Rhinolophus ferrumequinum: one gene and its partners. The protein of the gene in region 1 interacts with the protein of each later gene in a biochemical or structural test. Links are inferred from orthologs where the notes say so. Each region holds a gene or a part of one and is shown on either strand. Other genes may lie near its edges. The genes, in order: ACTA1, GSN and GC.

What was found.
Region 2: the proteins of ACTA1 (region 1) and GSN are reported together in a solved structure, tested with the Homo sapiens proteins (3 studies listed by BioGRID and IntAct). The link is inferred for Rhinolophus ferrumequinum from reciprocal best matches to the Homo sapiens genes ACTA1 and GSN.
Region 3: the proteins of ACTA1 (region 1) and GC are reported together in a solved structure, tested with the Homo sapiens proteins (2 studies listed by BioGRID and IntAct). The link is inferred for Rhinolophus ferrumequinum from reciprocal best matches to the Homo sapiens genes ACTA1 and GC.

The regions. Positions count from the first base shown.
Region 1 is NC_046310.1:26,952,832-26,963,690, reverse strand, and holds ACTA1 (actin, alpha skeletal muscle), read right to left. Parts: upstream 4,823-10,859; 5' UTR 4,671-4,822; intron 3,865-4,670; 5' UTR 3,853-3,864; coding exon 3,724-3,852; intron 3,618-3,723; coding exon 3,293-3,617; intron 3,151-3,292; coding exon 2,989-3,150; intron 2,898-2,988; coding exon 2,706-2,897; intron 2,612-2,705; coding exon 2,430-2,611; intron 2,361-2,429; coding exon 2,217-2,360; 3' UTR 1,985-2,216; downstream 1-1,984. UniProt on the Homo sapiens protein: Actins are highly conserved proteins that are involved in various types of cell motility and are ubiquitously expressed in all eukaryotic cells.
Region 2 is NC_046295.1:71,654,241-71,665,127, forward strand, and holds the start of GSN (gelsolin), read left to right. Parts: upstream 1-6,238; 5' UTR 6,239-6,280; coding exon 6,281-6,424; intron 6,425-6,479; exon of another isoform or gene 6,480-6,521; coding exon of another isoform or gene 6,522-6,545; intron 6,546-7,933; coding exon 7,934-8,138; intron 8,139-8,881; coding exon 8,882-9,036; intron 9,037-10,596; exon of another isoform or gene 10,597-10,671; intron 10,672-10,887. UniProt on the Homo sapiens protein: Calcium-regulated, actin-modulating protein that binds to the plus (or barbed) ends of actin monomers or filaments, preventing monomer exchange (end-blocking or capping).
Region 3 is NC_046288.1:29,378,639-29,389,161, forward strand, and holds the start of GC (vitamin D-binding protein), read right to left. Parts: upstream 5,034-10,523; 5' UTR 4,952-5,033; coding exon 4,894-4,951; intron 1-4,893. UniProt on the Homo sapiens protein: Involved in vitamin D transport and storage, scavenging of extracellular G-actin, enhancement of the chemotactic activity of C5 alpha for neutrophils in inflammation and macrophage activation.

The DNA of each region.
Region 1 (10,859 bases):
GGTTATGATCACAGGAGAACTGGGTCATGACCTCCTTTCAAGCCTTATTTGAATCTTAATCAAGTGTTGTGGAGTTAGGGTTAAAAAATGTTTAACATGACGAAACTAAGAAGCTTAATAAAAAACTAAAATGCTTATGCTGCTGTTACATATTTTGCCATGCGCACTTTTTCCCCCAAACTTGTGAGGGAAAAATAAGGACGCGCATTATACACGGGTAGTACTAACTCTGTGTCTATATAAATGTTTTTAATTCTTTTATTTATGCTTATGAGTTTAAAAAGTAGCTCTAGAAATCAGTAACGATATCCGTATGCAAAATAATACCCTGGAATACGATAATCAGTTTTGTTGAATTTACGATGAACTTGCAACGAAGAGTTCTTGGCCTTCTGTGACGCGTAAATATCATAAATTTGTTACTGTTACATAAAATTTCTTGTACCTTGTATCTGTTCTTGTGTTTTGTAATTATTTGTTACATAAAATTTCTTGTACCATAATGTTAAAAAATAAATGCTAAAATTCCTTTATAATATAAAAACCAAGTAACTAAATATAAATAAATAAAAATTTGAATTAAAAAAATAAAATAAAAGAGTTTTTTCCCTGAAAGTTTGGGCCAAAAACGTGGGTGCGCATTATACACGGGAGTACATGCTACACTGCAAAATACGGCATATTTTTTAAAATGTTTAACATGAAAGTTAGCTAACTCATGTAATTCTGACATTTTTCCAGGCTGCTGGGTACATGCCTTATTCAGGCTGTGTGTGTGTGTGTGTGTGTGTGTGTGTGTGTGTGTGTGTGTGTGTTGTGTTTGCTCAAATATATCTGTGTTTGTTTAGTACGTATGAGCCATAAAAGCTACATTCCTCTGAAAGACTAGAATCTAGAATTAGCCCTGGGAGGGGCAGTAATACCTGGTTTTCAGTGCCGATAGTATCACATACTTGTTTTATTAAAAATGTTGACTTCTACTGAATGATTGATTCTCTTGATATCTGGATTTGGCCGTTTTCCAACTTTGGAGGCCTCAAAGATTTCCGAAGCTTTTCAATATGCCATGAAAGGAGGAAATAAACTTATGATGATGTGGCATATAACATAGCTGTTGTTGATTTTACTTATACACTTATTTCAAAGGAGTTTATTATCTTTTTTGAGTCAGAATCTATTTAGGGACACTGCTCTTAGGAATCTTGACTAGGAAACATTATATATATATATATATATACACACATATATACATATATATATACATATATACATATATATATACATATATATATATATACTGTGCTGTCCCACAGAAAGTCAAACTCTTTAATATATCTCGTGCCTTTAAAACAGTGCTTACTCCTCTTTGTCCAGTGCCGGTCTCATCTGCCGTGCCTCCGGACGCTTCCTTGCTGGCCGCCCTCAGTGCCGCACACGCTGACCGCTCTCCTGACGCCCTTCCTCGCCCTCCTCCCCCCTCTGGGCGCCGCTCTTCCCGGCCCCTCCCTGAAAGGGGCGTTTCTTACGCTCCGTCACCCGGCACGAAGCAGAGGAGTTCCCAATTGAGAAGAGAAGTGGTTGTCTTCACTTACAAATGAAAACGGGTTCATTCAATGCAGAACACAGCCCTTTCGTTTAGATTTGTCGAGATTACGCGGGGAAGCCTGGCTCAACGAGGAAAGCCAGCGGTAGGTGGGGCGGGAAGGAGCTCCCGGGGCCGCTCCGGGCCAGCACCACGGTCAGCGCCCCGAAATGGGCTGGCGGGAACCGGAACTGGCTGACTGCTGCGCGGTGCGCAGGGCGAAGAACCCGCACACAGCGGGCCCAGGCGGGACACCCCACGCCAGTGTTTGGGAACGGATGTGATCCCAGGGGGCAGTCTTAGCTAAGGGCTCGTAAGGAGTGCGCTCGGGAGCATTGTGGCAGCGACGTGCCCTGTCCCCGCCGCTCCCGCCCAGGCAAATAAACGCAACAAACAACTTGACGCAGCATCACAGAATGGCGGGGTTTAATGCTTCAAGTTTCCCATCTCCTTCCACAGGGCTTTGTTTTAAAAATAGCAAAATGAGGTAAATAAGTTAATGTATGTACACGTTATAAACACTGTGTCGCTTTGCGGCCGCAGCAACCGGAGTTGTTAGAGAGCCAGTGGCTGCGCCGCGCTGGAGCAGGTGTGTCGTCCTGGGGAGAATTCGCACGCTATGAGGGCGCGGGGTCTAGAAGCATTTGCGGTGCACGATGGACGGGCCGGCCTCGTCGTACTCCTGCTTGGTGATCCACATCTGCTGGAAGGTGGACAGCGAGGCCAGGATGGAGCCGCCGATCCACACCGAGTACTTGCGCTCCGGCGGGGCGATGATCTGCAAGACAGCGCGTCAGGTGGGCGCGGGGCGCGGGGCGCGGGGCGCGGGGGCGGGGCTGCCGCCTACCTTGATCTTCATGGTGCTGGGGGCCAGCGCCGTGATCTCCTTTTGCATGCGGTCGGCGATCCCGGGGTACATGGTGGTCCCTCCCGACATGACGTTGTTGGCGTACAGGTCCTTCCTGATGTCGATGTCGCACTTCATGATGCTGTTGTAGGTGGTCTCGTGGATGCCCGCCGACTCCATGCCTGGGGGCAGCAGGGCGAATGTGAGCAGGCGCGCGGGGCGGCGGGGACGCGCGGGGACGCACGGCGGGGACGCGCGGGGACGTGCGGGGCTCACCGATGAAGGACGGCTGGAAGAGCGTCTCCGGGCAGCGGAAGCGCTCGTTGCCGATGGTGATGACCTGCCCGTCAGGCAGCTCGTAGCTCTTCTCCAGGGAGGAGGAGGAGGCGGCCGTCGCCATCTCGTTCTCGAAGTCCAGGGCCACGTAGCACAGCTTCTCCTTGATGTCGCGCACGATCTCGCGCTCGGCTGCGGGGGACAGGGACGGGAGAGGCGCCCTCAGTGCGGGGCCCCGGAGCTCGCCGCACCCCTCCCGCCCAGGGTGCCGTGGGCCGCGCACCTGTGGTCACGAAGGAGTAGCCTCGTTCGGTGAGGATCTTCATTAGGTAGTCGGTGAGGTCGCGGCCCGCCAGGTCCAGGCGCATGATGGCGTGAGGGAGGGCGTAGCCCTCATAGATGGGCACGTTGTGGGTGACGCCGTCGCCGGAGTCTAGCACGATGCCTGCGCGGGGGCAGGGCGGGAACCCCGCAGGGACTGAGCGGCCTCTCACGCCTGGGCACCGGGCGCAGGCGCAGCAGGCCGGCTCTCGGGCGGGAGCGCGCCGGGGGGCGGGGCGGGGCGGGGCTCGGCTGCGGGCACTTACCGGTGGTACGGCCGGAGGCGTAGAGGGACAGCACGGCCTGGATGGCCACGTACATGGCGGGCACGTTGAAGGTCTCAAACATGATCTGGGTCATTTTCTCGCGGTTGGCCTTGGGGTTCAGGGGGGCCTCGGTGAGCAGGGTGGGGTGCTCCTCGGGGGCCACGCGCAGCTCGTTGTAGAAGGTGTGGTGCCAGATCTTCTCCATGTCGTCCCAGTTGGTGATGATGCCGTGCTCGATGGGGTACTTCAGGGTCAGGATGCCTCTCTTGCTCTGAGCCTCGTCGCCCACGTACGAGTCCTTCTGCCCCATACCCACCATGACGCCCTGCGGACCCAAGACACCACGCACTCGTTACCGCGGCTCAGGACAGCGCGCGGCTGGGCCACGCGGGAACCCCGGCCCCGCCCCCTCCGCGGAGGCGCAGCCTGACCTGATGGCGAGGGCGGCCCACGATGGACGGGAACACAGCCCTAGGGGCGTCATCGCCGGCGAAGCCGGCTTTCACCAGGCCGGAGCCATTGTCGCACACAAGGGCGGTGGTCTCGTCTTCGTCACACATGGTGTTTGGTTTCTGCAAGGACAGGAAGGTGGTGGAGACGCACCCTGCGTCAGCGCAGGAGGCCCCGCGGGCTCCTGCGTTCTCCGTGCCCCGGGACTTATGGACACCACCAGGCCAAGACGTGAGCATCAGGGCAGGGGAGCGGCCAAAGGGGCCGTTTCCTAGCTTCCCACTCTTCGCTCCCCAGGCTCAGGGCTGTGCTGTGCCTGGAAGAGGGGCTCAGGGTCGTCGAGACCCCACTGAGCATTTTTCCACCCCGGGAACCCAGGGGCACAGTGTCCCCTGAGACTGCTGAGCGCAAGATCGTGTCCTTCGCTGCAGTCCACCCGCTGCAAGAGCCATGCGCTAGCGCCCACCCCTCCGCACTCAGGGGGCCTCACCTAGAGGGATAGGGCCTGGGTACCGGCTCGCTGGGTGAGTGTGAGGGTGGAAGGAGCCCGTGGGAAAGGCTGTGGGCGCCATCCAGGGAAGAATGGCTTATTCCGGAGCCCCACGACATTCCAGACTCACAACCGAGGGAGTAGTGGCCCTGGCTGTCGCTTGGCTCTGGCGCTCAGATGGGAATTGCCCTCGGGAGGACTAAAACAAAACCTTTCATGTACCTGGGCATATACTAAATGCCAGGTAGAACAGCCTAAAGGCGGGATATATTTGGAGACGTTTTCAAAAGCCCGTTGTCTGGTGCCGCCTCTTTAAGGCGCGTGTGGCTCTGGGGACCCAAGCGCAGGGCTCAGACGTGGAGCTGATCAAGTGAGTCAGTTGGACCCTGTTCCCCTATCACCTCCCCACTCCCGCCCTACCTGGGCGGGTGGCTACACCTGCTGCTCTCCGGCTTGGGCCCTGGTCGCCGCGGAAGGGAAGCAAGGCTTCTCTCGGCGTTATCCGCTGCGGTGGCCGTTGGTCCCCCGTTCAGGTTTTATATAGCCCGTGGGCGCTACCCCCACGCCGGCCCGCAGGAATGTCGCTCCCCTTCTCGAGCCATATTTGGGTGTTGGACACTAGAGACCCCTCCTCCGCCCGGTTCGCGGCCTGGGCCCCCGCCCGGGGCCCCTATGCTGACCAAAGAAGGAGCGGCCTGGCCGGGACCCAGGTAACGCGGGCCGGGCCGTATATGGAGCGTTTCCCGGGCGGGTCGGCCCCTCCCTACCCGGCCCAGTGGACTGTGCGCCTGCGCTCCCGGCGCTGCACCTGTCCGCTCTGAGCGCACTGGACGCTCCGGACTGCGCCGCCTACATTTCACCCCTTCTTCCCGGTGCTTCACTCAGACACCAAACCCTCACATGCGACTACAGGTTGGAGGGAGCCGTGTCCAAGTGGGGGGCCTGAGAGGGTTGGAGCAGTCACACCCGGTGTCCCCCTAGGGAACCTCATTTCTCCCTCGCCACCCCTGAGCTCCCGGAGTCCAGAGGGCTGATCCAAGTCAGCCCCCACCCCCACTGCCAAGAGGGCCACCGGCGGCGGGACGGCGCGCAGCTGTCGCGGGGCAGACAACTGGCAGAGGGCGGAGTGGCGGGGAGGAGGCGCGGGGCTCCCGGGGACAGGCCCCGGCGGTGGCCCTGGCAGCGCCGGGCATTAAACCAGGGCACCGGAGCTGTCGGCCCGGGTGACGCGCAGTGCGTTCGGGGGCGGGGGTTCATGAAGGGAGTGGATTGTATCGGTCGTTCTCTTCCTGCCGGTCTGAGCAGCCCGGGTTTCAGTGGGCCGAGCTGAGGGCCCTATCCCCACGTCCTTGGTGGGGTCACTGAGTGTCCTCCCCCTGCAGCTGAAAGGCGAGTGTCACACAGAACCCACGACATGGAGGTGAGGTGCCCTTACTAAATGAAGCCTTCCTTGCCTGTCCTTCCTCTCAATAAGAGGACGAGGACATTACGCTCTAGGACGGACGCAGTTTTTCCTTCTGAGATGGCTGAACAAACTCATCTTTGTGCTTAGAGGATGACCCCTCGCCAAGGCAGGGCTGCGTCCCAGTCCACCCGGGAGTCACCACCCCCCAGAGCCCGTGGAGCCCTGCTATTTATACCCCTGACACATGCGATATGCCTTTCACATTTTCTAGAAGCATTTGGATCTTCTCGGGGTAAGGTGGAGTGAGGGTCACAGCAGGTCATCCAGTTGGTGCCTGCCTCCCATTTCCCCTGGGACAAGAACAGTTCTAACCTTGCTGTAGAAAGCACAAGGAGAAACCATTTTCTGGAATGAACTCAGTGACATGCTTTCGGGAGTGGGGTGGAGTGGGGAGTACATCAACGAGGTGGTAGGAGCCCCAATAGAATCACTCATCTTTCTATGTGCTTAAGTGTTCCCCCAATAGTTGCAATTCCCATTTGTAGTGGAACTGGGTACCTAGGACAGGTGTGGGATCTGAGCAATATAAAGGCATACGCAATCCTCTGTAGCCCACATCATGGCAGCATTTCCTAAAAATGACCCAAGTCAATGACAAAATGAGGTTAGTACAGGGCCCACAGTGAGTTATGAAGGCTCAGGTAAAAGCTACCATGCTTTCACATTTAGCCTTTACAATTATTTCAATAATTCAGAGAGCTACCTCTCATTTTTAGTACCTGGCGTCCTGCCCTGTCAGTCGGTAGTGGAGACGCTAGAAAAAACCCGGCAAATGCACCAGAGGTACAATATGAGCTTATAATGTGGTCTTAAGGATAGGAAGAAACGTGCTGTCATTCACTCAATACCTAACAATTTGTTGACATTTTAAAGGGAACGGGACTGTTACTATTTTCCACAACTCTTGCTCAGTGTGACTCTTTTGCTATAGCAAGCTTTTCTAAGCTCAGAGTGTATTAAATTCAAACACACACTAAAAGCTGTGAATGAAAAACTGACAGCTAAGAGTTTCGTGTGCAAACCTTGGGAAGATGGGCCCTGAGAAGGGTGCAGACATCCGCTCCCTCCTGGCAGCAGGGGCTCGCTTCTTCAGAGCTGTAGCCATGTGGCTGCTTCCAGTCGGGTCTGGTCTTGAATTCCCATTGGCTTAGGGAGCAGACCCAACAAGCAGGTGGAAAAGCCATCGCCATTGGCCTCGGCCTTTGGGAAACACACCAGTGCTCTCGCCCCATAAGTAGGTTACTGCCTGCATATCCTTCTGGGACCGGTCACTACCAAAGGTCACGTGAAGGGAATGCCTGCCGGAGCTCCTGTTTCTAAGTTTTCAGGCGCAGCCTCCGCTCTCCATACTGACAGGGCCCTTTGCTACGAGGCATCAGTGTGCGCACGCCTGCTGTGTCCAGTTGTCCCCTCCATCCACATAGCTGTACACTCGTCTTGCTCAGTCTAAGCTTTCTATCAAGTTGCCTAGCAAGTTGAACATGAATCAGTAAAACACTTGATATGCCTTCATGTTGTTCCCATTATCCTTCTAACTCTCTGGAGGTAAGATGGGTCCTATTCATTCCACTTTTAAAGGTGAGAAGATCAAGACTCAGCCCGCAGCAGTGAGGAAGGCCTCCTGGCAGCCTTCCTCTCCAGTGGTCAGGGCGGGAAGGGCTGCTCCTCTCTTCCTTTAATCTTCCCAACACTTGCTGCAGTTCTGGAAACATCCGCAAGGGAGCTTTTCCAACAGAAGGCAAAGGCACCTGCAATGAAGTCATGGCTTCACCTGTAAGTACCCTCTCAAACGGGGCAGTGAGGGCGCCGGCTGGCAGCACCCAGGCACAAACACCCAGCCCAGGTGCACACAGGACAGCACTCCTCCTTGTCCCGAGACACACACCTCGGTCAGGCGGCCCAAGGCAGTCAGGAGAGGGCTGAGAGCTCCTGCTGCGGGCTTCTCGCTCGGCCTCCGGGCCACCTCTAGGGGCCTGACCATCCCTGTCCCCCACCCTTCTCACATTCGTATGACGAGCTGGTGACAAGCTTGCCTGTCTGGTGTACCTCCACTTGGACTGGCTGTGACCTTGGACAGGAAGACAGCATTCTCAGCTGAGGACGCCACCTACTCCTTAAGACTGATTTGAAGGTTAAAACTAGGTTAAATCCTGGCGTGGAAGAATTCTCCATGAATGGCGCAGTGTCTTCTAAGAGTTTGGAGGAGCTGAGTGGTGAGGTGGTAGGAGCGGTTAGCAAAGGACATTAAAAATCATTATAACTTCACCGAACACACAACATCACAAACAGGAAGAGTTAATGTCATTTTAAATGTATTTGGAGCGCACGAAGGTTGATTCTAGTATTAAAAGAAAAATGCCAAAACCCAAACCAATCCAAAACCATTAACCCAAGTGTTTTAAGATTGTTAAGAAAGAGACAGGGCTGTTAAATAAATTATGGTACAGCCACATGGCCAAGTGTCACGCAGCCATTAAGAAATTGTGCCTTGAATACTGAAAGCATGTATCCTCAAAGGGGGTCTCAGAGGGTAAACAACCTTAAATATCACAATGATTTGTGGCCTCCAAGGGCCACGGTCCATAAGAAGATACAGTCTACCTGTGGTTAGACTGTATTAAACTTACGGGAGGTGGGGCGGGGGAAGAGCGGTCAGGAAAACACCATCTAAAAAGGAGGAATGATAACAATGGCTCAGGAACACAGCAGGTCCTCGAATGACATTTATGACATCGACAAGATGCCAAAGTAACTGAACTGTTACTAGTATCAATTAGCCTCTGGCAAAATTGGTCTCCTTACACATTATTTCATGGTAGTGCCAAGGACCTGTCAACGGTGAGTGAGGATTGACCATCCTGGATTAAGGTACACAGATATGCTCAGTGTCACATCAGCAGTAGGAGGTCACAAAATATAAGAGCCTGAACATTCCCATTCTATGTTCTGTTTCAAAATGGCAACTGAAGCTACTCCGGGCTGCGGGGATTAAATGGCTTTCTTTTCATATTTTTTTTTTAAAGGTTTAACATTTTCTATAGAATTTTTAAAATTTTAGAATTACACAGATTGTTTTTTAAAAATGTACTTTGGTATTTAGTGAGTAGATTTACATCAGAATAGTAAAGCTATTAAATGCCCAATAAAATGTCCAGTAATGAGCAGGTGAGGCTAAACTATTTAAATATTTGTGTATTTGTAGCTGTCAGCCTGAAAACGTGCAGTGTTGGATTAGAACAGAGTCAGAAGCAGGTCTGATGGCAGGATGCACGCTTGGAAGAAGCCCTGGCGGCACACCAACTTCCACCGGCCTGCATGCTCTCCCGAGGAAAAATGAATCACAATCCTTCAAAGCTTCCTTCAAAAACACAGTCCCTACAAAGAGGTACCAGTGGCTTCTCACCTTGGTTCTGTGTCTCACAACATCTGGCCCACACCAGTACACCTGCCCACTCCTCTGACACAAGAATACCCGCCCGCTCCTCCCTCTGACACACAGGTACACCTGCCTGCTCCTGACACATAGGTACACTTGCCTGTTCCTCGCTCTGACACACAGGTACACCCGCCGGCTCCTCTCTCTACCTGACACACAGGTACACCTGCCCACTTCTCTACCTGACACACAGGTACACCTGCCTGCTCCTCTCTGACACACAGGTACACTTGCCTGTTCCTCTCTCTGACACACAGGTATACCCACCCGCTCCTCTCTCTGACACACAGGTACACCTCCCTGCTCCTCTGACACACAGGTACACCTGCCCACTCCTCTACCTGACACACAGGTACACCCCACCAGCTCCTCTCTACCTGACACATAGGTACACCGCCCATTCCTCTCTCTACCTGACACACAGGTACACCTGCCCACTGCTCTAACCCACACACAGGTAAACCCACCCACTCCTCTCTGACACACAGGTACACCTGCCCACTCCTCTACCTGACACACAGGTACACCCCACCCACTCCTCTACCTGACACACAGGTACACCCCACCCACTCCTCTCTCTACCTGATACACAGGTACACCCGCCCGCTCCTCTCTGACACACAGATACACCTGGCCACTCCTCTACCTGACACACAGGTATACCCGCCTGCTCCTCTCTCTGACACAGCCGTAGTCTTCGACTCAGAGCCACAAACTGTTTTTCTGAACAACATTCAGACAAGTGAAAACAAAGATCTTTGCAAGTCAGAAATGCCCCTTTCTTAGAAATGCTCACCTTTAAAATTTGTTGTGATCAACACTCCATTTAACTAGAAATCAATGACTGTCTGATAAAGGCTATATTGTAAAGCAAATTTTTAAAAATTTTGGAGAGAAAATTATTTAAAATCTTGGTCCTAATTTCGCTTTTCCTCCTTCTTCCCGGCCGTCTGGCTCCTTAGAAGTCCTCACTATATTCCTAAGCTGTGCCAACATGCAGGCTGTGAACAGAAGGGAGCAGGCTGGCTGTTCCCCTCGGGTGACTCGTGGAAGCAGCGCCCTCACTGCCTTGTGAACAGAAGCCGCTTCGAAGGAGCGCAGGGAGACGGCGCCGGCTGGATCCGAGACCAGAGACTGGGCCCTTGGTGCCGTATTTAACTTTGACCTTCAGCTACTGGAGCAAGATGATGAGTGCCCTCTCAACTGGGCGAGGATGGCAGTGCCAGCAGCTCCCTGTCCACTCTCTGGTCTTTATTTAAAGCTGGATAAAACTGGGTAACGACTACTTTTTAGTGAAACCAGCTGCCACAGTGAGAAAACCTGCAGTGCTTTCTAGCATTACACAAGCTTTATGTTAGCTCTCCATAAAGCTGGAGTTCGGTGTAAATCATCCTGGAAGTATAGGAAGCTGACTGAACCCCCACGCTAACGACGGTAACTAACGCTACTACTACAAACTTATTAGATGGCAACTTATGGGTAGGCTAGAAAGCCACATAAATGTTTTATTCACTAAAATACTTTCATTAATACTCTATGGTTTATGCAGAAGTTTAAAATTTTCCCAGTGAATGAATCAGTCACCAAGCTCACATGATCTAGGCCCACTCTGTTTTGTCCTTTAGTCCCATAATTTAGCAAAACCTCACCAGACACCGCCCACTAGCCCTAATCAAAACAGACACCAATCGCTCCAGATCCCATCAGCGCATGATATCCAGTCACG
Region 2 (10,887 bases), on another chromosome or scaffold:
CCAGTTTCATACATAAGGAGCTTGAGCCTCTCAGAGAGAGAGAAACTTTCCCAAATACTCAACTAACAATAATCGTAGCTTCCTATATAGTGCATACTCTGCGCCCAGCGCTGTGCAAAGCCCCACACGTATTTGACCTTATTAAATTCCCACAACCACCCTAGGAAGAGTATTATAATCCCCATGGTACGGATGAGGAAGTGGAGGCTCAGAGAGCAGAAGCGACCTGCTCACACCACACTTAGGAAGTGGTGGGTCAGGAATTTAGACCCAGATGTTCCTGGCGGGAGCGTCTTCCACAGTCATCATGCACATCGCTTTTCTCCCTCCTGGAAAGCCTTTCGCTCTATGGAGCAGGGCTGCCTCCCGCGGCTCCTGCTCATCCTGGCTCTGGCTGGGGCCCCTTAGGCCCTGCCTTCCCAGGCGGTTTGCAGACAGAGACGGTCCCACTTTCTACTGGTCCTGCGGCCTCAGCGCCTGCAGTTGGGCCTCTGTGTCCTGCTGCTGATTTGTTTGTGCCTGGGCTCCCCTATCGGCAAGATGAGGGGTGTCAGACGAGAAGAGGGGTGCCAGATGGGCTATGATGTAGTTGTTTGCAGCTGTTTACAGCCGAGCTGCTGGCCCACCGTGCTTCCTCCCCCAGGAAAGGGGAGACAGACTGTGAAGTGGGCCGTGGCAGGAAGGGTGCTGGGCTCGTACCCATGGCCAAATCTGGCAGCTTCCAGGGCACGGGGTCAGGAAGTGGCGGGGCCTGGCCCCTTCCGAATGTCCTGCCTTGGCTCTCAGCCAAGGTGGGCTTGCCTCCAGAAGCTGGGAAAAGGCCCGTGGCTTTGGTCCCTGGAATAGTCGGCCTCCTAGAGGTGGCTTCAGCCAAACCCCACTGGCCATCTCCCCAAAAGCTGTCCACACCCAGGATAGGCTGGGCCCACACAGAGATCCAGCTGGCCCTTAGCGTGAGCGCTGTCATTGGCACAGGACACAGGCCTCAGCTCTGATCTGGTCACCAAGGGACCCGGGGCCTCGGTCTGCTCTGCCAGGGACTTGCTGTTGATTCTGAGAAGTCCCGGTTTTGTTCTTGGTGTCGTCATCTGCAAAGACAGGATGCCCAGTGAGTCCTGCTAATGAGTCCTGTGCTGCGCAATGGCCCCCAACGCTACTCTTGCTCCAGAGCTCCCAACCACCCTGCAACTGGACACCACTATCCCTGTTTACAAATGAGTCACCCAAGGCTCAGAGGGGGAAGTAACTTGCTCCAGGTGACACAGCCCAGACCTGAACTCTAGAATCTCCCTGTGGAGTCTGTAACCTTTCTCCTGCTCCACTGTTCCCACACGGTGTGCGGATGCTGAATAAAGGCCTCTGCGAAGAAACCAGATAGTTCAAGAAGAAGGGTTCTAACTTTTGGGGAGCTCTTACCGTGTGTCAGGCCCCGTGAGGGGCCTCCTCACTGCCTCGTGAGCTAGGTATCATTCTCCCCGTTTTTTAGATAAGAAAACTGAGTCACTTCAAGGAACTGAGTCTCCCAAATTCTAAAACACACATCCTTTCAGGTCCACGGGGGCTCTCCAGACCTCCCTGCAGCCCTGTCCAGTTTCACTGAGTTTTATTACTTGCTTCTTTGTTTACCATTGTCCCAATTAGCAAAATCCTGGGCCAGAGGGGCGGGTGTTCCCAGGAGGACCCAGAGAACAGCAAACAAACTCCAGGAGGCTTCCCATGAGTGGCCAGCTGCTGGGAAATAAAAAACAACTTTGTTTGAGGTGAAGAGAAAAGAACAGGGCGGCGTCTTCCAGCCCTGGCCAAGGCCTTGTGTACACTGTGGCCAGGGGCGGAGGGTGAGGCCGCCTCCTCCAGGCTCTGGTAACTGCCCTGGGACACCAGAGAGACACGGAGACTAGCCTAAGGTCACAGAGGAGGCAGGGCCGAAGCCCGCGGCCATCCTGGGTCCAACTGCAGGGGAGGATCGTGGGCTGTACGGCTTCTTCCTGTGGCAGACACTGAAAAACTGCCTACTTTGTTCATGGTACCGGGTAGGAGCCAGGAACAACCAAGACCAGGGGACCTCTGGAGTCCAGAGAAGGGCAGGGTTGAGGACATGCTCACAGAGCGAGTGGCAGCAGAGCCAGGCTGCCTCTCAACTCACAGTAACCGTGACTGGCCTGAGTGCCCATGAGTGGCCTAGGATGTAAGTGTCACAGGCCATTGTCCATTCAGTGGCCACAGCCTGAGCTTCTTCCTAAGACATGCCTTTGTCCTGGGTGCTCACACAGGTGTGTGGAGGGCAGAGGGCTTTCCCGGTCCAGCCTCCTGCCCTGGCCTGGGGGGTGTGGTGGGGACGGCTGCCCCAGAGACTGCTGGCTGCCAGGCGTGGCTTGCCTTTGGCTGATTTAGCAACTGCAACCCTTTACCTGGAAAGGACACTTGCTCCCTGTCCAGGCTGGATGGTGCCAGGAGGCCCTGCTTCATCTCCCCAGATAGACCTTAGAGACTAGAGCCAGCCACACTTGTGTCTGAATCTCAGGAATGCCTCCTTCCAGCTGAGTGGCCCTGAGCAAGTGACCGAACCTCCCTGAGTCTGTTTCCCCATCTGTAAAATGGGAATTTGAATGTCTATGTACACTGGTTGCTATGAGGAGACTCAGCCTTGGACCCCCCCTCTCCTTTCCTCCCTCTTTTCTCCCAGAGATGTCTGGGCCCAGAGGAGAGGTGGCATGGTGATGGCAATGCCTCCTTCTGCAGGACAGGTGCTGGACTGTCAGATTCAGAAGTACCTGTACAGATGACCTGGTCCAGTACCATTTTACAGATAAGAACCTTGAGGCTCAGAGACATGTAGGTTCTGGATGTGGTTGCACAGCCAGGATCTGGGAATGCTGGAGCTGGAAATAGCATAGGGACCTATCTCATCTTTTGCAATGGAGACCCCGAGGCTCAGAGAGGGGCAGTGACTTGCCCCAAATCACCCAGGAAGTCAGTGGCAGAGCCAGGCCTAGCAGTGGGGCCTCTTCCTTTCTACCTTGGGATCTTTCTCTCACACCCAAGTCCCCCACTCTCCTGAACCCATATATCCTCTTCCAGGCAGGGAGCAGCATAAGACCATGTTGCCCCCATGAAAGGCTCCACACATCTCTACCAAGTAGAGTTTCCAGGCTGTGGGCTTCCGGAGGGCAGGGCCCAGGGCCCATTCACCAGGTCTCCAATGCTGAGGGCCCAGGCTCCAGAGCTACTCAGATGTGGCAGGCAAAGCTGCAAGGCCTTTGTGACCATTAACCTGAGGGCCAGTGACCCTGGGCTGCTTGTCAGACCCCTGGGCCCAAGACCACACCCTCCGTTAATCACCCAGTGGGGAGGTCAGAGCCACAGTGCTCCAAGAAGGGACTGCTGACGTGGGCCAGCTGCCAGCTGCCAGCTCCACTTCGCTCTTGGGGGCTGGGATGACAGGACATTTCTTTTTCCTACTTGTTTGGATTTTCCAAATTCTCTAATGAGCAGGCATCACTATACATTTTGAAAAGGACTTTTTTCTAGATCAGTGTTTCATTAAAAATCATCAATTGCATTGGATACATATTTGTAAATAGTTTCAACTCCCAGAGCAAGTTTTCATTTTTTTTTTATTTTCAGCAAGAGTATTGAGGTATGATTTACATACCATAACAACTCACCCATTGTAAGCATACAGCGCTCCGATTTTTAGTAGATTTTTCAGTTGTGCAGTCATCCCCATAATCCAGGGTAGAATGTTGTCATCACCCTAAAATGTGTCCTCCTGCTGAGTGCAGTGATCGAGGGGCTCACTGCCGCCTCAGGCTATCACGACAGTATCAGAGGTGGAAATTCTCTGTTCTCATCTCTTCCAAGCAAACCACCTTGACAGTTTGGCATTTGTCCTTCTTGACTTTTGAAGGATGTATCCAAACACAGACACCCTTATAAAAAAGGAGAGGAGTCATACTGCAGTCGTACAATTTGCTTTTTTGCCCTTGGACAGCTCTCCGTGCTTGAGTGCCTACTATGTGCCAGGCACAATCACATCTAGCTCATTGTGTTTTCACAGCTGCAGAGAGGTCCATTGTATGGCATCGCCGTAATTTATTTAACCAGGACATTTGGGTCCTTTCCAGTTTTCCTCAAACAATGCTTCAGTGAACATCCTTGCACATGTATTTTTGTGTTCCTTTGTAAGTAATTCTGAAGAAAGTGGATCTGTTGTTGCCTCGTGTGTTTCGAATTTGGATAATCAAATTGCTACCCAGAGAGGTGAAGCCGGTTTATGCTTCCATCAGAGCATATGACAACTGTGGGTTTTCTTTGTTTATTTGTTTGTTTGTTTTACAACTGTGGGGTTTTTATAATCACCCAAATGCCTAAAGAGAGGGAAGAACTGTCTGAATTTAGGCCTGAACTGGCCCACTGCAGGCTCCCTGGGCCAGGGCCTAGACAGGCAGCCCTGAGAACTTGGCATCTCTCTGTGGCTCCCCACAGACACCCAGATATAAAGTTCAGATTCTTCAGTGTAACGCTCGAGCCCTGTGACTCCTGCCGCCCTCTCCCCGCCTCGGCTCCTCTTTTTCCCTGTGTTTCAGACTGGACCCCTCCTTATCCACTGCTTGCGTTCCTTTGCTTGCCCTTTGTCCCTGCTGTTCCTGCCCTGAAAACGCCTTTTCTTCTTAGTCTCCCTCCTCCTTCTCCTTCAACGCCGTGGTCACAAGTTCCTTTCTCTATGAAGTCTTCTTACTCTCCTTCCGATCTGAATCCTCTGTGTGTGTGTGTTCCCTTACCCCTTTATCTGTCCCACAGACCCACTTCGGTAGAAAGAAGTTGTGGAGGGCCGAGGTCCAATTGCCACTGATTAGATAGAAGCTGGGGCTCCAGGAGGGGCTGGGACAGGGGACCATAGCTGTGGGGAAGGGGACGGGAACTCCCGTTTACCTGGTTGCAGGCCAGGCCATTTTCACACATACACAGAGATTGATTTAGTCCTCAGCAGCTACTGTACCCATTTAGTAGATGAGGAGACAGTCATAGAAAAGGAAAGTAACTTACACACAGTGGTGGGAGTCAGAGCTAGGTCTCCAACTCCCCATTTCTCTTTCCTGACGTCCCTCCAGGCTTTTGGGAGACGGGGAGATCTGGGATGCAAAGAGAACTTGGACATAGATGAGCAGTGTGATGGGAGGGAGGAGAGAGGGATTGGCAGGATTAAGAGAGTCTGAAGAGTCCTTCTCCTAATGCAGTGACTCTGCCTCACGAGTGGGAGGGTGGAGGAACGGGAAGGGAGCCTGTGAGTGGGGACAAGGCTTAAAACCTTGTCTTCCCAGGGGGAGCCAATAGATAGGACCTAGAACTGGAAAAACAAAACAAAACACAAAAACCAAAACAAAAACAACTACAAGATGCAACAGGTTTTGTTATTTAAGACATGAAGGTAAACACTGAAATCATCAGCTAAAGGGGGTAGATAGAAGTGGTTGCCCCTGGGGAGAAGTAACTCTGTACAAATATGTGACTTTAATCTTTGATAAAAAATAAGTTTTAAAAAATGAAAACTGTTGAAAAATAAAAAAGAAAGGCAGTCTTGAATGCTGTAGAAGAACCTGCAACTGCAGGAGTGGAGAGGTCTGCCGGACACCCCCTCCCGCCACACCCCCCCCCCCCCCCCCCCCCCCCCCGCTAAGTTCTGTTTACTCCCGGTCCAGTCTGCCCCTAGCTCCTGGGAGTTGGGCCACCCAGACTGATTGGGTTCAAATCTTGGCTGCACCATGTCCCGGTGTGCAGGTGGCCGGGCTATTCGCGGCAGTTTCCCCCCTCTGTAAAATGGGCCTGCCGATATACCCACTCTGTAAAGGATGTCATGTGTCAACCCTCGTATGAGGCGTGGTGAACCTACAATAAGTCCTGGAGACGTTAGGTGCAGATTGGGTTGGGGTCTTGCGTGGGTCTCACAGGACGCTGAGCTGGGCTCCCTGCCGTTCGTGAATTCTCCCATTTAGCATCCATAGACTTAGCGCCTGCTGTATGCCAGCCCCTGTGCTTGGGCTCTGCCCTGGAGCTGGGGTGAAGGGGCGGCCACGCCCAGTGGGTTTGGTCCGATGGGAACCCCGATGTCTCCAAAATCCAGGCCAGATCCCCGCCCCTCCCGGCCCCGCTGGGGCCCAACCCTGCCCCGCGCCCTCCCTGCAGGGCGTTCCCGGCTTGGATGCGATGGGCGGGTGGCTACTTAAAGTGAGCGACCCGAAGGCGGTGGCTGCTGACTGGGTCTTCTGCTGCCATCGCCGCCATGGCTCCGCACCGCTCTGCGCCCGCCCTGCTTGGCGCGCTGGTCTTGGCGCTGTGCGTGCTGTCGCCGCCGGCCCGTGCGGCCACCGCGTCGCGGGGGGCGGCCCAGACACCCGCATCCCAGGGCCGGGCGTCCGAGGCGCGGGTGAGTGTCCAGGGGGACCGGGGGTTCCCAGAGTAACTCTCTATTGTAAGTTCTTGCAGATACAGCGCTAGGAAAAGGGGAGTAATTCAGGTCTAGAATGGATAAACTGTTTTGTTGCTTTGTAAGTATCTCTTGCTGCTTCCCGGGCTCCCGTTGATGGGGGTGGGAGCCTCGGGGACCTGGCTGTTAACCTCCCTAGAGGCTAACCTCACCTTGGCCGGATTTCTTTTCCCTTGCCGCCTTCTGATGTCTTATCCATCCCTGCTGCCTGATTTCTCCTTTTCCTCATCTGGTTTTTCCTTCCCTCTGCCTGATTTCTCTTCTTCCCTCTTCTTATTGCTTCCATTTCAGATTCCTCTTTCTCATCTGATATTTCCCTCCCTCTCCAATATTTTCTCCCTTTGTTTTGTATGATGTCACCTCTGTGTGCTTATTGTTGTTACTCTTATTTATTCTCCCCTCTCTGATCTCTCCTCTGCCCTGTCTGGTTTTTCCTCTTCTCTCCTGTTTCCTTTTTGCGTTTCTTCACCCCTCTGCCTGAGTTCTCCTTGTCCGGTTTCTCTGACTTCTCCCATCAGGTCTGTCCTCCGGCCAGGTGACCTGTGCCTGCTGATTTCTGCCCTTTGGCCTCAGGCTAACCGTCTCACTCTGCTCCATCTCTAGCCCCGTGCATGTCTGATGGCCTTTCCCCCATTCCTGACCTCCTTATCTCCAACAGGCTCCTGCAGACCCCAGCTGCATCCTCTCTGCCTTTTCTAAGAAATGGGACTTGGGGATGGGGTATTGGGGGGCAGAAGGGAGGAGGCAGACAGCGCAGGAGGCCACTTGGGCTAAGTCATTTAGGCCCTTCTTGGGGATGTGATGGGGACATGGACAGGGCATGGGATATCTTCCCATTTCCAAAGAGCAAAAACAAACAGGCTGTGTGACCGTGGGCCAGTCCCCTCCCCACTTTGGGCCTCAGTTTCCCCATCTGCAGAATGGGGTTGGATGAGGAGCTCTCTGAAGACCCTTCTAGTTCTAAGAGTCACTGAGGATACTGGAAGGGAACAATGCTGAGCTCCTGGGGACCCCCAGCTTTACCACTGCCATCCGAGGGGCTCTTTTCATGGTCCCAGAGCTCGTGCTCTTGGAGCTTGGGGCAATCCCTGCCATGCCATTTTCTGGCTGGGGGTCCTTGGCAGAGTCACTTCACCTCTCTGTGCCTCAGCTGTCCCATCCAATTGGCACTAAGAAGGGAAGGAGAAGGGAGCTGGAGCCCTTTGTCTCCCCATGATTGGAGAACTGATTACTCTCTGGCCAAGGGCAGGGTTTGGAGCCTAAACTCTTCCCTGTTTGCTCACCCCTTGAGACAGGGGTTGTAGAAGGGGTTAGACTTGCCTCGGGGGTGGGGAGAGTCAGAGGCTCAAGTGGGATGCTCTTGGTGCTGGAAACCACCCTCCCTCATGCCCGGGGTCTCTCCCCGCCAGGGCCCCCACCCCTGCTCAGGCTCCGCCCTGTCTCTTCCAGCCCGGCAGCATGGTGGTGGAACACCCCGAGTTCCTCAAGGCCGGAAAGGTGCCTGGTCTGCAGATCTGGCGTGTGGAGAAGTTCGACCTGGTACCTGTACCCCCCAACCTTTACGGAAACTTCTACACAGGCGATGCCTATGTCATCCTGAAGACAGTGCAGCTGCGGAATGGGAACCTGCAGTACGACCTGCACTACTGGCTGGGTGAGGCCCGCCCCCACCCCAGGCCCCACTCCCATAAAGCACAGACCTTTGAGGCATGGTCCCCAGGGGGACGCCCATGGGAGCTAAGTGACTACTGAGCATCAAGTAGGTCCCAGGCCCTTGGCTGGTGATTATGTGTCCCCAAACTCTAGCGCCAGCCTGCCCGAGTTCAGAGCCCAGCCCTGCCCTTTGGAAAGGCACTCAGTCCCTCTGGAAAGGGGACATGATGGTGGCAGTGCCACACTACCTCGAAGGGGTGTTGGGAGGGGTAAACGAGTTAGTGTAGCACTCAGAATTGGGGGTGACTTGGGGACCCTGGACCTGCTCCACAGCTTCCCTGGCCCGTCTCCAGCCATGCCTCAGTTTACCCTTCAGAGTTGGGAGCCTGGAGTCCCTGCCACAGCTCTGTAGTGTGACTGTAAGTCCTGCGCCTGCTGAGCGTCCGTTTCCTAATGTGTGAATTGAGCCCACGCTCCCAGGCCTGACATCACGCTCAGGAGGGCTGAGAGGGAGTGCAGGGCAATGAGGGAGAGAGGTGAGCGGAGGGGAACGTGTTAGAGCTGAGAGGACTCAGAGACCATGGAGTCCGGCCCCCGCCTCCCCCATTATGTAGATGGATTAACTGAGGGGCTTGCCCAGTTTGTACAGCCAGGCCTGCTCCGTGCTGGGGGCTCCAGAGTCCTCCACAGGAGGCTGGGACTACTCTCCGGAAGCCAGGCTTACGCTGCTCGAATGTCGCCTAGGCAATGAGTGTACCCAGGATGAGAGTGGAGCAGCTGCCATCTTCACCGTGCAGCTGGACGACTACCTGAACGGTCGGGCCGTGCAACACCGCGAGGTCCAGGGCTTCGAGTCGGCCACGTTCCTCGGCTACTTCAAGTCTGGCCTCAAATACCAGGTGGGTCCTGGGCGGCAGGGACAAATGCACCAATGGCAGGATACATTCAGGTCCACCCATCTTTCAGTCCTGTGGGGAGATGTCAGAAGACAGGTCAGAGCTCAGCCTTTGGCATTGGCCAGCCCTGGGTTTGAATCCTGGACCCTTCCTAGCTGTGTGACCTTGGACAAATCACAATTCCTCTGTGAGCCTCTGGTTCCTTATCTTAAAATGGAGAGAAGAAAATTCCCCATCGTCTCACAGGGTTTTCTTCCTAGCCCCAGTAGCAAGGTGTAGGCCATGGGTGGAAACCTAGCCCCTCGCTTGCCAGGGGCGTGGACCTAGTCCTGTTCCTGCACCCCTTAGATCTTTGGCCCTGCCGACAGAGTGCCCATGTTAGATATTTGAAAGGGGCGCCCTTGATGACGTTCTTCTTTCTGTTCATTAGAAGAATCCCCCTTGAACTTGAACTTTGAAGAGTCTGAACCAACACAGATCTTTCCCCCAGTCCCCAGCCAGGTGGGGCTGAGCAAAGCCAAGCTAGGAGTCCTGAGAAGCTGTGCCCTAATATGCTGTGTGACTTCTGGCAAGCCACTTGGCCTCCCTGAGCCTCCTTCTCCTCTCTGGTAACACAAGAGCCAGTTGTACCTGCCCTTCAGGCCTGTGGAGAGGATTTGGTAAAGGTGTAGCTGGGAAATGCCTTGCACAGGGCTTGGCTTGGAAGGGCTCAGGAAAAGCTGTAGTTTTGCAGAGCTGGGGTTCTCTTTGGTTAGGATAGGGAGAGGATCACAAGCTTTGATAGCCAGATGGACCTTAATGTCAGAGTCCAAATCTCTTATTTTACGGGATAGAGGGGAACTGAGGCACAGAGAGGTTAAACAACTAGTTCAGGGTTACACAGCAAGTCAGTCCCAGAGCTAAGACCAGAACCCAGATCGCCTGACTCCCAGCATGCTTTCCACTACACCAACCTGCCTCTTAAGCCAAGTCTGTGCCACTGATATGTTGTGTGACTTTATAAAAGTCATCGTCCCTCTCTGGACCTCAGGGTCCTCTGTGGTGACCCTTTCTGCCCAGGTGAGGCACAAGGAATTGGATGATGGGAACATGCTGGTGAGACAGATATGGGCAGGGTGTATCCTGGGAACAGGGCCTCAGCTCTGGGCTGGGCAGAGGTGGACTGGATTCCCGGGAACCTACCAGTGCCCCATGTTTGCTGGTTCACTGGTGCTCACAGCTGCTAATCCTGAGCTGTCCGGCTCTACCTTCTACTTACAAAGCCCCTTCTGGGGCTTCTCCCTTGGTACCTTGGGCCCCTTGGTACCTTGAAGGAGAGGTAAGAAGGTTGGAACCCAGGCCCCTGACCTGGAGAAGGACCAGGCTTTTTTGTAGTTCCTGGAATAGGGAGCAGAAAGAGCACTTGACCAGGAGCCAGAGAGATTAAGGTTTATGGTCCCAAGGCCACTCTTGTAACTGCTTTGAGGCTTTGGACCAGTTGTGTGCTTCTGGGTGTGTGCCCTGACACGTTCCCCATTTGTCATCCATTCAGCAAACATTGATCAATTATATAATAATTGGGGTGGCCGGTTAGCTCAATTGGTTAGAGCGTGGTGCTAAATAACACCAAGGTTGCCGGTTCGATCCCTGCATGGGCCACTGTGAGCTGCGCCTTCCTTAAATAAATAAATAAATAACCCTGCTTATTGTTGCTGTGTGGACAAGTTAAGCAACTTGCACAGCTGGTAAGTGATGGAGCTGGGATTCAAACCTGGATGAAGGGCTAGCATGGAGGTGGTTCAGAGTGGACATTTCTAGGTCTCCTGGTCTCTGATCTTAGCTCAGGTAGAGCCTAGGTCATGTTTAGCAAGGCTC
Region 3 (10,523 bases), on another chromosome or scaffold:
TATTGTGTAATCTGACACAGGTCTCAGGGGGTTAAAATCAGTGTGTCAGCAGGACTATGTTCCTCTTGGAGGCTGTAGGGGAGGATCCATTTCCTTGCCTTTTCTAGCTTCTAGAGGTGGCCTACATTTCTTGGCTGTAGGCCACTTTCCTCCATCTTCTAAGCCAGCAATTTTGTATCTCTCTGTGCCTTTTTTTTTTTGTCACCTCTTTTCTGCTTCTCTCTTCCACCTTAAAGATCCTTGTGATTCCATTGGTCCCACCCAGACAATCCCAATTGTTTTTCTACTTTAAGTTCAGCTGATTAGCAAACATTCTTCCATCTGCAACTTTAATTCTCTTTTGTGATGTAACCTATCCTATCCACAGTTTCTGGGCATTAGGATGTGGACATTTTTGGAGGGCCCTCATTCTGCCTACCACACACTCATTAATATTTAAGCCTGAGATCACACCCACCATCAGGTGACTCTAAACAGAGATTAGAATTGGGGTGGATTCATATCAGACAGCTTGATCCCTAGAATCTCACCAGCCAGCTATACATACTCAAACCCATTATTTCATTAATCTCACAATGGTGATTCTGATTTTTTAATGTAATCAATTCATTTTTGGACTCCATTTATTACATCATGTCAAGTTTTATATTGTATTTTAATAATAATTAGTTGGGCAAAGGGTGGGAGGCAGGGATTTGGTTAGGAAGACATAATAGTCAGGTAAAGGGGAACAAAGGCCTGGACTAGGACAGTGTATGGAAATGTAAATGGAAACCTAGTAGGTTTGAGAGGCGGTGTTCACAGACCGAGAACCAGGCATATGAGGAAGGTAAAGGGGAGATACAAAAGGAACACTGAGGAAGTTTCTACATTAGAACGCTATGTACAAAGTCCGAGCCATTTCAAGGCTGAATTTTATAGAATGTGGAAATGATTGAATATGGATAATAAGATGAAGAAAGAAGTCCAAGAAGGCTTTATAGGATTGAACATAAATAACCCAGATATGATGGTGTCAGGAAAATAGGGAAGTTAGAAGACAGAGTTAGTTTCACGGGATAGGGATGATGTGGCGTTTGGACCAGTTATGGATGATTCATAGTAAGCAGCATGAGTTTCACTTAATTCCCCCTACACTGGTGATAGTGACAGGTATTTCCCTCTTATACTTGGTCGTACAGTAGCAAAAGATTTTAGCTGAGGTAACTCAAATAAAGGCAGCAATGCAAGTGATAGCATTATCTTTGTAAACCCAACTAATTAGCATAAAATTCTGGTTCTGCCAGAATTCTACATTTTACAGTTTACATTTTAATTCATTACAAAAAACAAATGAACAGCTGGTGATAAGGTAAGGTGATGAATGCTAAAAAAAAAAGGCATGGTACAGGAATAGAGAAAAATGGAGTGGTACGTGCTATTTGAGATAGGTTAGTCAAGGAAGCCTTCTCAGTACATGAAGTTGGAGCAAACACCAGAAGGAGGTGAGGAAGGGAGCTAGATGGATTATCAGGGGGATCAGTGATCTAAGAGGAGGGAGGACTAGTACGAAGCCCTGAGGTACAGAGTTCATAGAGTATGGGATAGTGTGGAGGACAGCGTGGGTGCGGCACGGTGAGCTGGGGGAAAATAGGAGAAAGAAACGTTGCAGTAGGCAGAATTAATACTGGATACTGGATACTATCATAGATAGTAGAGGAGAGAGTTATCGATTCCTTTTAGGGATTTCTTTATCTCCTTCCTATATCGATTCATCTGTGGCCTTTTAAAGAATGTGCACACTTATCCCTACACCACACACAAGTTGATGAGTGCACACCAGGCATTGCACATTGCAACGATGAAATGTGATATTGTTATTGATGTCCAGGAAGGTTAGCATTGCTTTTGATGACGAAGTTAGCTACTTTTCTGGCTTTGGCTCCTTTTCCTTTCCCCTCTTGGCTAAGACTCTTTTATGCTTTTACTCTGGATTCTTTGTGCACTTGGATTGGACCATGTTTGTTCTTAGCTCAGGACTTTTACACCTGAGTTCCTCCCACTTCAAACTCACTTCTAGATCTTTACGTGGCTGTCTTCTTTTCATCATGTAGTGCTCACATTCTACGTCTTCTCCTCAATAATCATATGTAGGTTTTACAGAAAGCTTATAAAGTTATTTGGAAAAATAGAGGGGATATCTACTTATCCTAAGTTATTTCTCTCTGGCATTCTGTACAGCTGTGTTCCTGAACCAAACTTAGGACAGCTTTGTTTTTCAAGTGGTAACTGATGAAGGGGCAGGAAACTTGTAAAAAAGAGAAACAGTGATTCAGTGGTGGTTTGGGAGATTGGGATAACCCACATTGTCTACGGCTGTTTTGACAAGCAAGTGGAAGAAGGAAACATAGCTCATCCACCAACCCAAAGGGGGCTTTCTTTCTGTTGGGTATTATTTAGTAAAACTGTATGCTGAGAATGAAGTGCTTAAAGCAAAAATGAAAATGTTCATAGTAAATGTCCTATTCTTGCCAACAGCTTGTATAAATTATAATGGTTTATTTCCTGTTAGCATTATTTCTTTGATAATTGTATAGTTGTGTCAGCAGTCTTTGTTACTTGTGTTTTTTTTTTTTTTGGGGGGGGAGAGAAAGATACATTGCAGATTAGTGCTACTTACATTTCAGTCCTGGGGAAAGAAGCCAAGGGGAGGCAACTGGCAAACACTGCCTTTTTGCCTTTCAAGGGGTAGCTAAAGTGGATGTTTCCTTATGACACCACCTAGATTTGGCACATTTGATAAGCCCTTCTCTCCCCAGATGTGAACTGAATTCCCAGGGCGGCTTGATTAAAGAGGACTGGCCTAACTGGCGTTGATGTTCATGTTGAGCGACAGCAGTGTCAATTTTCAAAGAATACTTTCATGGGGTCTTGGCATTTTAGGTAAAAGCCAGTGTGCTTGGGGAATTCTGAGTTAAATAAGGTTTCTTTCTGGTAGGACTGCTCAGACAAAACCTTGGGGACAATAAAGGCATTGATTGTGAACTAACCAAGAAGGACTAATGCATGTTTTATTTCTTAAATGTGTTTGGCCATATAAAGTTTTTTCCAAGACAAGTCTTGAGTGAAATATACTTTGGAAGAGGTGTTCTAAACAAATGCTGTAGACGATCAGTTAGCTCTCCAGAACTGTAACAGGCAGAGAGAGCTGCAGCCCAAACCAATCCCTCACCATCCAAAGCTCTCTCAACTCCTTTATCCATATACTTTGTAACTTCCTGCCAGAGGGCACATGCCTAGCTTCCAAGTGAACCACTAACTTGGTATTTGGGTCATGCTCAGGCCTTATAGAACAGAGGACTGATGGGTCAGGAGCATCATTTCCAAATGTTGAATATTTGTTGCTTATAAATGTCTGTCTCAGATAATATCATCAGACCTATGGCACATGGGTAATTTGAAGTTCATTGTGAAGTTTAGACTTTTAAGGCAGCTGGCTTGAGGTTTTTAGCATTCATTTCATCAGAGCCAGAAAATACAGAAGGATGTCGAAACAGAGGTTGCAGAATAATCTGCTAGTTTTCAAAGGGCACCGTAACTCTTCGAGGTGAGACCAATGTACAGTTATTGAGTCCGTAGTCCAAAATGGTCACTCATGTCCCACATTATGGAGTCCACATATAATTCCAGCACTGGACCTTCTCTGTTTTGGATATTCTGAACTAAACCTGCTTCAGTAGGATTTTTCAGGTTCATATCTGCTCCAGGGAAACCTTGGACAAAAGAGTAAGCTTGTAGGGTTTCTTGGGTCTTGGCGTATTCAGAGGTCTTGTAAGGGACACAATTTATTTTACTTATCTATACCCCATATCTCAGACTTTGTAGTCTTACATAAAGAAAGATCCATAGCTTATTTAAGAATCTATGGGTGAATAAGACAAAATTTTAAATTATTTGAATGATAAAAGTAAGATCAAGGAAAAGTGAAAGTAAAAAGAATAAGAAAATGTCCGCAGTAAGATTATTCATGTTATAGTTAATACCAATAATTTCTGATACAGACGTAGTACACGTAGTTTATTCCAATGGTTAAATACATTATTAATATGAATACTAATGTATGATTTGGATGAGATTCTTAACTGAAAGCACTAAATGAAAGTTAATTTTTCAAAGCAGGATGAATGCAGATTCCCTTAGAAGCATTAAAGAATCAGCCAGGAAAGTAAATTGAAACTGATTATAAATTTTGCAGCATGGGAACTTTCCACAAAGTTATATGCATAATTTCAGCCTGTATCATTTAAAAAGGTTTTAAACATTGCTAAAAGATGGAGATGCCATTTGAAGAATAATCTTAATAAAAAATATAGCTCAATTATCTTTTATAGTTTCATAGCTATTGAATTATTTTATTTGGGATATTTTAAAAACGATAATGCATTTCCAAATATTACACATACAGGAAGGATTCCTTGAAGAGGATCAAAGAAATCTCAGTTAACCTCATGCATCATTGATATGGTATATTATGCTTTCAATGGCGATAAATATTTGAAGTCTGAAAAAATGCTCAGTGATGTTTCATAGACTCCATTTGCATTATCTTTTAACAACTAAAATATTTCTAATTTCAAACCATTCTCTCTAGGTTTCAAAAAAGCAAGGAAGGCTAACTGACAAATTATATAATTTTTCTTTCTTTCATGAGATTAACTTGATTTCTTGGCTATTCCAATTGAAGGCTACATACCATATTTGAGCTCTGACACGAGTCTCTCTGATCCTTCCCTTTCTCCCCAACATATTCACAAATTCTCTTGTTTATCACCATTTGTATAATTTTTTAAAACGGTAACAGAAAATTAGACTAGTAAGAGTTCTCATACATAGTCACACCACTGGAAGTCTTACCTCTCTCTAGAGCATGCACAAATGCTACAGCCAGCAGGAGAAACGGCACCTTCTTCATTTTCCTGCCAGCAAGTCCTGCAGCACTCCTGTTTCCTGCAGGTTACCCAGTGAAAAATGCAGCCCAAAGTAATCAATTCCCTTTTACTATTTCCCAACTATGAACTAATCAATTATTAATCTCTACACAGAAGAAAGGGCAGTCATCCTTGGCCCACAGAGATAAAATAATATCAATCAAGGCAAATAAACACCCTGGGGAAAATGCAGTGACAAATCTGGGAGACTTTAATCATTAACTTTGTCAAACTTGAAAAGAGTCAGAGTATACACAGATTATTTTCCACTGCTGCTTTTTACTAAAGTTTATTTAATTTATTAGTGGGTACATCCTGCCTGTCCTTTATAGGTCTTTTTTGGACATTCCCTACCTTTCTCATACATAAATAGAAACTTGGAGGTTTCTGTGTTTCTCCTTCCCTCCCTTCTTCCTTCTCTGTTTCAACCTACTGCAAATAAGGATTACCTTAAAATACTGCAGGCTAGGTTTTTTTTGTGTGTTTTTTTTTTAATTTATTGGGGTGACAATTGTTAGTAAAATTACATAGATTTCAGGTGTATAATTCTGTATCACATCATCTATAAATTACATTGTGTGTTCACCACCCAGAATCAGTTCTCCTTCCATCATCATATATTTGATCCCCCTTACCCTCATCTCCTACCCCCCAACCCCCTTACCCTCTGGTAACCACTAAATCAGACTAGTTTTTTTTAAGTGATGAGGGAAAAAACAAGAGTGAGAAGCCAATTTATCACAATTGCTCAAATCCATAATTCAATGCTATAAAATGTATTGAAGGGGATGGGATAGTACTTTATATTTAGGTTCTATATTAAATTTTTTGAAGCTACTGAGATACAGACACAAGCACGTGAGTGCGCGCGCGCTCACACACACACACACACACACACACACACATATAAATGCATATACACACACATATATATATATAATAACCTCTTCTTGAGGGAGATAACTAGAGAGGTTAAATGACTGTCCCCAAATCACAAAAGTTATCTTGGACTTTCTACACCTAATTTAAACTTCTTTCTATTAATACCATACCACTAGTTTATTTCAGGATACTATAATTTGAGATCTCATAGTGGCCTTATACAGCATGGAATTCTACATCTTCAATTTACAGAAGAGGAAACGAAGTCCTAGACAGATTCTGTGATTTGCCCAGAGAGGCACAAGTAGTTACCATTCATTGGAATCAAGTCAGCTCCTGGTTCTTATAATAGCCCTCTTTTCAGGAAGGCAGGATTAGGTAGGGGTTGGGTATGCAAGCTCTAGAATCAAATCCCTACTCAGCGCTTATTGACTACATAATCTTGGGAAGTTATTTTGTCTCTTTAAGTCTCATTTTTCTCATATGCAAAGTGGTGATAACTCGTAGTACTTTTGTCATAAGATTGTTGTGAGTTTAATTAAGATAATTCATGTGTAGGGTTTACCATAACATCAACCACATAGTACCATGCCTTAATGTTTTCTATTCATCATATTCTAGCTATTATCACTTTCTCCACTGGCTTTTCAAATTTATAATATCTGAAAAGATCATTGGAATAAATGAGGCCTGGAACTCAGTGGAAAATTTAAAACCAGCCCTGTATCCTAGGTTTAGAACTATCACAGATAAGTGATATAGAATTCCATTATCAATTTAGTAGCTAAGGACTAACTGCATGGGCAAATTCCATCAAAATCTTAATAAGCTGCACTAAGCAGTTACATTTTTTGTCAGATCCTCCATCTATATTGAAAATACTTGGGTGTTAGGTTCTGAAAATAGAGTCCAGTTAGTTGGAAAAAAGATAACAAAGCAAGAGATATCTGTGTAAGGCCAATGGAAACCCATGTGGTAAAGGAAATTAGTAGATAGTGTGAACATTGTTGGAGGGAATATGGGAAGATAGTCTTGTTCAAAAATTAACTTTCTGCCTACCACAAATCTAAACTTTTCCTTTGGTTAAACTCCTAGTTTTCTTTGTAAGTTAATTAGAAAATGCTTTAGTCTTACTGTAAATTATTTGGAAACAAAGAAACTCTAAAAGAGTGCCAAAGAGTTTGAAAATAATTGACAAACCCAGAATTCAGAGAATAACTGTTAACACATTATAGTTTTCATCTTTATTTAAGATAATACAACATATGTACTTTTGTAGTTTTTAATTTAATGGTATTTCAGTCATCTTCTGATGATTAATTCATTCAAACATACAGCTACTTGTTTCCTATGATTTGCTACAGAGCTTAAGACCAACCTGTTCTTTCATTTTTTAAAAAAAAATCTTTGCTTTTGCAATTACATCAACCACTTTTGTTTAATGATAAACTACATGTAGCAAGAATTGCAACATCTCATTTAGGTGTTCTCTTGAGAAATCTCTACACTAGCTGCCAAATGCATTCTTTTGGCAGAGTTTATCTTTTTCTAACTGAAAATTGGCACTCACATGCTAGGAGCTAAATACATGAACCTTTTCTCAGTCTTATTTATGTAATTTTACTTAATCTTTCAAATGTTGATTGCTTACATTGATTCTAAAACTGGAAAGAAAGAATCGTAATTGGCTTAAATGAGAGGTCTCATGTTGCAATGGTTGCTCTAAATAAGTCAGATGGGGAAAAAGGGTGAAAAATATGAAGCAAATCTTCTGACACTGTTACAGCAATAGTTACAGCAACTCAGAAATTTATTACAGAAATATTTTTAAAAATTATTCATTAAATATTGAAGCAATGGAATTTTACAGGAGTTGTTTTGCCCATAAAGAACTGATTGGAAGTAGTTTCCCTTCTTCTTTATCTTGCCATTAACTTCAGAAAAAAATTAGGATTTTCCCTCAGTAAAGCTAGTTGTAGGCAAAATTGTGAGACAAAGTCCATCTTTAGTTCTTTCTCTATCACATTTTTCTCTTCCTGCCAAGGCTGCTTGGAAACTTTTACATTATACTATTGCTGTCCTGTATGTAGTGTCTTCGTTTTTCCTGATTGCATCTAAAATTATCACTTTACCTTTGGTTTTCAGTAGTTATCCTCTGTACATAGTGTTGCTCTTTTCATATTTATCTTGATAAGCGTGCATTAAACTTCTTGTATCTATGTATAAGTCAATGTGTTTTTCTTTCTTTCTTTTTTTTTTCTTTTTTACCAAATATATGAAATGTTCAGCCGTTATTTTTGAAGTACTTTTCTGACACATTCTAGCTCTTTTCTCTTGGGGACTTTAAATACTCAAGCTCCCAATGGTGTATCAGACTATTTGATATTATCCTACACATTTCTGAGGCTCTACTCAATTTCTTCTCTCTGTTCTTCAGTTTGGATAATTCTTGTTCATTAGTCTCAAGTTCATTATTCTTCTATCTCTAATCTCATTCAAAGAATTTCTATTTGATTTTTTTAATAGGTTCTATTTTGCTGCTGAGATTCTGTTTATTCATTAAGACTACTCATATGTTTATTTCTAATTCTTCGAACACATTGTCCTTTAAATCTTTTTCCAAATTAATAAATGTTTCCTTGTAGTCTTTGTCGACTATGTACGTACTGTGTTTGAGCCATCTCAGAGTTGGTTTCTATTGATTTGTTTTTATCTTGATTATGGGTGACATTTTTCTATTTCTTTGCATATGTAGTAATTTTTTCACTATACACTGGACAAGTAATGTGAAAATTTGATATTTTGTATGACTTAATTATTTTTAAGTTCCCTATAACTTAAGTTGTTTTCACATTATTTTTCTCATTCTTGATACTCCTAAAGTTTAGTGTGACTCAGACATCCTTTTGATTGTATTGATTGGATAACAGTTAAATTGCTACCCAATTCAGTCAAACCACCATTTGGAATTCTAAAATGTATGACAAAGATATTAATATAAAGGGATTTGATGAGCTCAGTTTTATGTCATACTTAAACTAATTGGTTGGGGATAAAAAGAACTGGGCAAGTTGTTTCCTGGTAACAGAAATTTTTATTCTCATTCTACTCCCAACCTTGTTTTTCTTTTTTTTTTTTAAATGGAATCTCTGATTATCTATTAGAAAGTTCACTCCTGATTTTCATTTCAAATATGTAGATTTTAAACAGGAGGTTAATGCATAATCAATGATTGATTGATAACCACATATTTCGACTTTTTTTGCTTTTTTCAAGTTACTGCCATGTGAATTCTATATGAAGATGCACTCTGAAAAAGGAATCCAGTTAAATATAAAAGAATAGAGTGTAATATAAAAGAATAGAGTGGATATTTCTGTTATTCTATTTATATATATTATTTGTCATCTTCAGATATCTGGGACTTGACTACATTTCCACAAAGAAAATTTGGTGCAAAGTTATAACTATTAAAAAAAAAAGTCTTCTTGACAGTATGAACATAGAGCTGAGTACTAATACAACAATATCATATTCTTTAATATTGCTTTACAGTTCATATTCACTTTCCTATACTTACTCATTTGCTCTGGACATCAATTTATGCATTGGTAGGCAGAACATTATAAATTTCATAAATTTTACAAATAAGGAAGTTGAAGTTCAGAGCCTACCAATGGTACTTGAAATTCTTTGAAATTAGAATATAGAATCTGACTCCAAGACCAGAGTGTTTGTCACTAACTGAATTAGTTCAGATCATCACCATTGGTAGATAAGTTAGGTGACTTTCTCCTGGTGGAATAAGCAATCTCTTAGAACAGTAAAGAAAGTATGAATTTTGGTTGTAGGTAAACATTTGTATGCAAGCTCTACTAATTAACCTCAATTAGTACAATAATACAATGAGTTTAAAAATAACAGTTTAAATGGAAAAATTTACTTAAAGCATCTAGCCAAACACAAACATTCAATTCACAACACACACACATAATACAAGGTATGACAATTAAGTTCAGGAACTCATCCTAGAAAAAGTGCTATACATGTCATTGCTGAATATCACCATGGTCACCTTCAAAGTACTCCCTTTGGGAAGCTATGCACGGATGCTAGTGCCTAGTCCACCCTTCAAAGCAATTTTCGAATTCTCGCTGGAATGGCCATCAGAGCTATTGTTGTACTACCGTTGATGTCCTGAATGTCATCAAAATGTCTTTCTTTCAATATTTCCTTTATCTTCAGGTAAAGAAAGAAGTCATTGGGGGCCAGATCAGATGAGTAGGGAAGGTATTCCAGTACAGTTATTTGTTTACTGGCTAAAAACTCCCTCACAGACAGTGCTGTGTGAGCTGGTGCATTGTCGTGATGCAAGAGCCAGGAATTGTTGGTGAAAAGTTCAGGTTGCCTAACTGTTTTACACAGCCTTTTCAGCACTTCCAAATAGTAAATTTGGTTAACTGTTTGTTCAGCTGGTATAAATTCATAATGAATAATCCCTCTGATATCAAAAGGGTTAGTAACATCATACAACAAGTTCACGAACATAATTGTTAGATCTCATATAACTTCTGTTTTTTGAGAATTCGTTGTTTTTCTCAATCGTGGCTAATTTATGAGAAGTGTGTTAAAATTTTCAATTCTACAAATGTTAACTGATAAAACAAGTCAGAA